2 linked regions of the Mus musculus genome follow. The protein of the gene in region 2 interacts with the protein of the main gene of each other region in a pairwise test. Links are inferred from orthologs where the notes say so. Each region holds a gene or a part of one and is shown on either strand. Other genes may lie near its edges. The genes, in order: Arl14ep and Setdb2.

The links.
Region 1: the proteins of Setdb2 (region 2) and Arl14ep interact in binary tests that used the Homo sapiens proteins (3 or more experiments, as listed by UniProt). The two-hybrid records come from large-scale screens. The link is inferred for Mus musculus from reciprocal best matches to the Homo sapiens genes SETDB2 and ARL14EP.

Annotation. Positions count from the first base shown.
Region 1 is NC_000068.7:106,967,743-106,971,567, forward strand, and holds part of Arl14ep (ARL14 effector protein), read right to left. Parts: intron 2,650-3,825; exon of another isoform or gene 2,569-2,649; intron 1,817-2,568; 5' UTR 1,753-1,816; coding exon 1,330-1,752; intron 1-1,329.
Region 2 is NC_000080.6:59,430,654-59,434,478, forward strand, and holds part of Setdb2 (histone-lysine N-methyltransferase SETDB2), read right to left. Parts: intron 616-3,825; coding exon 490-615; intron 1-489. Other genes in the region: Gm45935 (Setdb2-Phf11c protein), read right to left, coding at 490-615. UniProt on the Homo sapiens protein: Histone methyltransferase involved in left-right axis specification in early development and mitosis. Specifically trimethylates 'Lys-9' of histone H3 (H3K9me3).

The sequences.
Region 1 (3,825 bases), on a different chromosome or scaffold from region 2:
TGTGCTAAGATTTTAAATCTGTTATTTTGGAGAGGTAAAATAAGTGGTCTTTCAAAATGTTTTCATACACCCAAAGCCAAGATTATGTGGTAAAGAAGTCAGTCATGTAAGAACAATGGAGAGATGAGGTGAAGACATCCAAGTCTAGAATCATCGAGTATCTATGACGAACTTCACATAATGCTGGGTCCTGGAGATATGCCTGAGAGGAACACAATACACACAACTTAACATTTTAATTTGGTTTAGTAATGCAACAAAAAGCAGAAAACTGAGAAACTACGCCAGCAGCAAGAAAGATAGAATGCTTAAAGAGAGAAACTCGAAGAAGTGCTCCTTGTGGGTAACGCAATCTTCACAGACCTCAGCTTTCCTGATAGAAATGACTGTGTACAGGCCTGAGACCCAGGAAAAGGCATGAAATAGTTCACACTTGTAAAAACTATGTGCTCTTTGAGCACAGGGAGCCCTACATTTAACCTTAACTATATTCAGAACTTAGAGACAGAAACATTAAAAGTCTCAAATATTTGGTGTGCACCCTCCTCCCCCTGCCGTTTCCCCATGGTGACTTCGCTGGCCTCGGTCCTTGGGGCCAGGGGACTCGCCCACCTGAGAGCAGCTTCCCAGTAAGTCCGCCCTGGAGGCCAGGTTTACTCTGGTTATGTAAAATAACCCCAGGGTCTCAAACCAGACATCTTCAAAGGAGAAAACCTGAAATTACATTGCCTGACTACTGGGCACCATGCCTCGGACCTGGCCCCAGTCCAGGGAGGCTGACAGAGGACCACTGTCAAGAGAGCCAGGCTTGTCTTGACTACATGCTGAGTTCCCGGCCAGTCTGCCTCGGAGTAGGCCCCCACCTCAAAACCAAAACCAAAATCAACAATTACCCACTTCTATGATTCTTTTCCTTAAAGCTGTGCTTTAGTCCTAGACAAAGACACACATCCTCCCTGGTGTGTAGTCTCCAGTAGGCCAATATTCACCTAGTTACTTCAGTAACAGAAAAGGATCTAAGTTCCCTAAGTTGGTCTTTGCCAGTGTTCTAAAGACCATTCCTAAACTCTCCTTCCCAAGGTTTAAGAACAGATTTCAAGGCAGCATTGAAATCTTGGACACATGATGTTCTTTTGTTCTAAGCCCTTGTTTACTGCTCATTCTGGACCTTGAGTGTATGGAAACATTTTAAAACATCACTATTTCACCTCAACATTAAATGGTATATGCTAATGAACGTGACAGGAATATGATAAATATGATTTCTTATATTTATTCCATATATCTAAAGTCCCACACTGTAGAAAGCACAATGGCCTCTATACATACATCTGAGTCGGGTTTCCGTCTCTGGCGGTCATCTGAATCAACGTCCACACTTCCATTGATGATCTGGGTACATTTGGGGCAAAGCTTCCAACCAGGTACAAGCTGTCTTCCAAACTTGGCGCTCAGAAAAGTGGCATCATCTAAGTCAATGACGTGCAGGTTCTTTTTGGCTAGCTTCTTGTGTATGTTAAATGGGTCACAACACGACTTCTGCAAATCTTCAAATCTGTCAATATAAATTTTTACGTGATGGAGACAAATTGTATTATTCCCAGAAAGTGTCATTCCAGTTCTAAGCTGAAGTAAAAGCATGTCATTTGATGACAATTCTTTCAATGTCTTGAAACCTGTGTGCCGAGTATAGAAGGTTTTATGGCAGTCGTGTGTGGTACGAAGCTGGACTCCAACTGAACACGGATCCATCGTCCTTGATTCTATCAATTTCCCCCTCTTTTATTTTGTCTAGAAATCTCTTTGATAGGTCAACCTAAAGAAAAGATTAAAAGACAGATTTGTACTGAAAATTCTGATTTGGAAAACTGTAAAAAGTTAGTAAAATGCAGCTTCTTTAGAAAACAAAAGCAAAATACAGCAAACATGGAGTAGTAGGAAATACCAAAAGAATGAATGTATTTAATCATGAAATGGGAGAAAAAGTCTTGTCAGCTCAGATCTACACCAGAATCCTTGAGATCACAACTACAACATTAAGATCACATTACATGGGAGCGAAGTAGAATAAACAAGAAGTATTCACATGAGAAATATTAGAGATTCAACAGAAAAACTGCTTAGAATATGTAGGGGATTTAACAACGATGCTGGAAACTAACACACTGTATGCTTTACATAATATACAAATGTTAAAAAAATACAAAAGACCTTTATGGAATTCTACAAATTCAGTACTATTTCACTCAAAACACAAATGGAAAGCCCCCTCTGCCATCCTGCTTGAGTGTGGAAGCTGACTGCAGATAGAGTACAAGTCCAAAAATGGTGAGAGTAAAGAAGGGCTGATTTACTAGAAAGCTAAGTAAAGACACTATGGTACTGCTGTAGTGCAGACAAACAGACTGGGGTTTGGTGTATGACGAGGTCCTGTGTTACTGTGGTAAATAGATGGCATTACACACCAAAGTGAAAAGGATTACTGGCTAACATGAAAAAAGAAAAATTTCTTCTGGATCAACAAACACAACACAGATGAACAATCACACATAAAAAGCCTAAGCAAACCTTTATGAGGTTGCCATACCACAACCATCTTCTACCTCCAGACATAGGGAATCATCCCACTGTCATCTTGGCCTGGTAACCATAGCAACTAACTGATACATTGAGATTAGAATGGCAAAGGAACTGTAATCACTTCACAGGAAGTGAACTGGCAGGATAACTGCAGGAAGGACTCAAGGATGTAACCTCTAGGAGGCTGCCATTCATGAGGGCATTACCCATATTCCTGTAAATAATCCCAAAGTTCAATACCATAAGCCAAACAAACTCCCTAGCTCACCAGTGGTTACACTGGTGGGATCGTTATTTAGCTTTGTGGCTGGTGGCCTAGTTGTGGTAAACAGATGTTTGTTTAACCTCTGGTAAACAGGGAAAGTTTGTGCAAGGAACTGTGGGGCCTGCTGTGTGAGTACTATGAGGGCCTGCAAAATCCGTTAACAAGCAGAGGATACACTGTAGTCCTTGAGACTCCAGTGTATGTAGGCTGAGACTGCCAGAAATGCATGACTGCAGCTGCATGGCCCTGAAGGCAGCTGCATGGCCCCTGCTATGTATTATATAAGACTCAACTCGGTGGGCAATCTGGATCAAAGAGAGAAAGAAGAAAGAAAAAAAGAGATGGAGGTGCTGGTTGCCATTTCTTATAGGGACCCCAAAACTTGGAACCCAAGGAAAGAATCTAATAGGGTAGTGAAGGAGAAAACAAGGTGGAAATGATCCTCAGTACAGGAGAAAGAAAATTCACAATTCAGCGTGCACGTGGCCTGCAGCAGGAAACTGAGACTACTCTGCCCTGAACTCCCTGTATCAGACACAAAGTCCTGGGTTCAAGTCCCAGCACCGTAGAAACAAATGATGGAATACTCCTACTGTCTCAGCATCTGGGAGGCTGGCTGATTAGAAACTCAAGGTCGGGCCGGGCGTGGGGGCGTGGCGCACGCCTTTAATCCCAGCACTCGGGAGGCAGAGGCAGGCGGATTTCTGAGTTCGAGGCCAGGCTGGTCTACAGAGTGAGTTCCAGGACAGCCAGGACAGCCAGGGCTATAAAGAGATACCCTGTCTCGAAAAATCAAAAAAAAAAAAAAAAAAAAAAAAGAAAAAAAGAAAAAAAAAAGAAACTCAAGGTCTTCCTCAGCTCCCTCCCTGGAGGCCAGCCTGGGCTAGAAACTGTCTCAAAAGAGGGGGAAAGGTCATCTTAGAACTCAGGAAGTTTATGTTTAGAAATCCAAGTCCTTAAAGTACTATAATTTTTGATGG
Region 2 (3,825 bases):
TTCTATCTTAGTTAGGGTTTCCATTGCTCTAAAAAGACACCATGACCAAGGCAGCTCTTATAAAGGTCAATATTTAATTGGGGCTGGCTTACAGGTTCAAAGGTTCAGTCCATTAGCAGCATAGCAGGAAAGACAGAAGCATCTAGGCAGACATGACGCTGGAGTTGCTAAGAGTTCTAAATCTTCAACCAAAGGAAGCCAGGAGCAGACTGTCTTTCAGGAAGCTAGGAGGTAGGTCTCAAAGCCTACCCCCATGTGACATTTCTTCCAACAAGGCCATACCTCCTAATAGTGTCACTCCCTGAGCCAAGCATATACAAACCATCACATATGGGGAAAGCAAGTTTATAATACATAAAGCAGATAAAATTCACATTAGGGCCTTAGAAAAGCATTTATTTATTGTCTATAATAAACAACAGTAGCATTATACCGCATATCCAGTATATAGCATTAGTAGAAAGTGTCAGAAATCTTCATTTTTCATACCTCCATTTGTGGCAGACCCATCCTTTATCTTCTGTTTCAGTGAATGTAGGACATTTTGTGTTTTCTCAAACATTAAGTCAACTTTACCATCATCTTGTAGCTCCATCCAGAAAGTCTTTGCATCACCTAAGAGTTTAATAAAAATGCACCAATTTCCTTAAGGCATAAGTTACAGGAATAAACTATCATTTCTAAACAAAAATTAAGATTCAGTTGGTCTAACACTTTCATTGAGGAAAAAAAGATTTGGATCATATTTCCTTACAAAAATCAAGAGAAAGACCCAAGTGTCTCACACATTGCTGCTAAATTTAAGAATCTATCAGAAACTGGTGCTGGGGGTGTAGCTCAGTTGATAGAGGAGTACTTGTGTCCCATTGATGAAGCCCTGAAATTTTATTATGTTCAATTCTGTATAAAACTTCATGTGGTGGAACATCCTACAATTCCAGCACTTGGGAATAATAGGAAGATAAATTTCAAGATCATCTGGGGCTACACCGTGAGTTCAAGGCCAGCATATGTTACAAGACAACCTATGTTAAAAAAAAATAAAAGTAAAAAATTTGAATGACACTTATTTCTTAACTGGAATAAAGGAAGAATTATCCCAGGTCAGAATCATAGTAGGGCATGCGTAATAGATAACATGCATCTTTAGCATTTCCAGGATACAACCTCTATTATATGTAGAAGTAGATCATTTCAGAATAAAATATCTCAATGGCCACTGAAGTAACCAAATGTCTAACAATATTACAGTGGTTAAGAGTGCATACTACTATTCAGAGAACCTGAGTCTGACTCCCAGTGCTAATGTTAGGCAGTTCACAACTCCAGCTCCAGGGACATTGGCAATCTGATGCCTCTGGTTTCCACAGAACTGCACTTATGTTTGTTCTCTATCTGTGTATATGTGTGTGTGCGCGTGCGTGTTGTCTCCCCCCACCCCAAATATAGACAAAATAAAATTTAAAGTCTTTTATATTAACTTTACTTGTATTTTTTTTTAATGCAGAATTTACACAAATTGAGGGCCATCATTTTTGGCATACAGTAAACTAATATCTTACTCAAAGCTTTTCTAGAAGATTTTCAAATGGAAAACAAAAGACACTACGAGCTTATATGTAAATCAATAAATAGTATTAGGGAAATGAAATTAAGTAACATTCCTTTTTACATGAAAGGCTCCATATTAGGGACTTACCCATATTAGAGGTAGGATTTAGAAATATTTACAAACTGCTTTTAAAGAAAATAAAGTATATATGTACAATGGATACTTTTTAGCCATAAGAGGAAAACTGAAGGAGGATATGTAAAGTAAAGAGAGTCAGAGACAAAAAGTTGAGGAGGGCATGTTCAAACTCATGCTGGTTATGAGACAGCTGGTCTTATAGAAGCTAAGAACAGAACAGTGGTTATTCACAGGTAGGGGACAGTGGGAGGGATGAGGAGAGGTTGGTCAGCAGGTACCAAGTTACAGTTAAAAAGGAGTTCTGGTATTCTCCAGTAGAACAGGGTGGCTACAGGTTATACACTGTGTTTTTAAAAGCTCTAAGAGGACTTTTTAAAAAAGGTTTCCACCAAAATGAAATTATAAATATTTGAAAAATAAAATAAAAAACTTATTGAATCCCAGTTTTAAAGAGAGGATATACCCAAATCTGAGCATTATCCAATATATATTTGCATTCACATATTATATGTTCCTTAGAAATAGTTACAATTAAAAATTTAAGAAAAAAAATTAGAAAAAATAAAAATAGCTTTTGTAGCATCAAAATTTTCTGGAATTATATACAAGTTTGTCATAGCCTGAGAACAGAGGTAGTGATGCCCAAAGGCATTGATCAAAATCCACTGGTGTGTTTGATTGTGTATCAAGTGGAATATTACTAGAAATGCCAACATGTTTTCATCGAATTATTCCGAAAGGAAATACTTGAAACAAAAAGTGAGAGTAGATACTTAGTCTTAGAACTGATTAATAAAGAGACTATGGCAATACAATTTAAGAAAACAGGAGTTTAGGCTATGCTCAGTGAAGTATGCTGAACAATAACTGGGAAATGGATTCAATTCCCAGTATACCACACACAAATTAATAAACTTTTAAGAAAACAAAGCCAATCAAAGAAAACATTGAAATTGTCTACATATATAACAATAGATGTAACTAAGCAGCTCACATATATTTGTTCTGGGTTTAAATACAGGTATTGTTCCTTCAAGCATCCTTATTATATCATACTGACTTTATTCCCAACATCTCTGCCTAGAGACTAAATCAACGAATTAAGGAGGAACATGAGTGACTTTCACTTCACTGTAAATATAAAATCCTGTATAAATGACTGCATTTTAAACAATTGCAGGGTTTTTTGTTTTTTTTTTTGCTTGCGGTCTTTACTTATTTGTGAAATGTGTGAATGTTCAGCTATGATCTATTAGGTGATAAGAACAAGTTCTACACTTGACCTTAACTAAAAGACTAAGAAGCAATAATAATCTAAAACTGTATATTTTCAAATACACAGTTGAGTATATTTCAAAAAGATCTCTAAAAGTAATATAAGCAAGTACTAAACTTATTTCTTATTCAACTAAGTATTAACTACTGCAAGAACATATCCATAATGAAAGAAGTTTAAGAACTTTATAAAGAAGATAAATATCACTATGCTAAAAGCTTGAAAAAGCTTGTCCTAGTTAGGGTTTCTATTACTGCAATGAGTCACCATGAAGAAAAAGCAAGCTGGGGAGGAAAGGGTTTCTTTAGCTTATACTTCCACACTGCTGTTCACTACTGAGGAGGTCAGGAAAGGAACTCACACAAGGTTCCTGGATATAGGAGCTGATGCAGAAGCCACGGAGGGGAACTGCTTGCTGACTTGCTTCACTTGGCTTGCTCAGCTTGCTTTCTTATAGAAGCCAGCACTTCAGACCAGAAATGGCACCACCCACCGTGGGCTGGGCCTTCTCCCATTGATGTCTAATAGAGAAAATGTCTTACAACTGGATCTCATGGGCATTTCCTCAACTGAGGCTCCTTTCTCTCTGCTGACTCTACCTTATCTCAAGTTGACACACAAAACAAGCCAGTACTGTCTTTGTCAAACAAGAAATACTCAGGAATCATAGTGATCTGACTCTTTCACTAAATTAATTATGAGCTACTCACTAAGTGCAGCAATGCTCACAATATACTGAAGCTTCAGGACACAGGGCTGCCTGACAGATGGGCCCCAGATTTGCAGTGAGTATGGCTCACCATCATGTAGTAAGTAAACTTAGTTAGGGTTTCCATTACTGCAACAGATCACCGTGAGT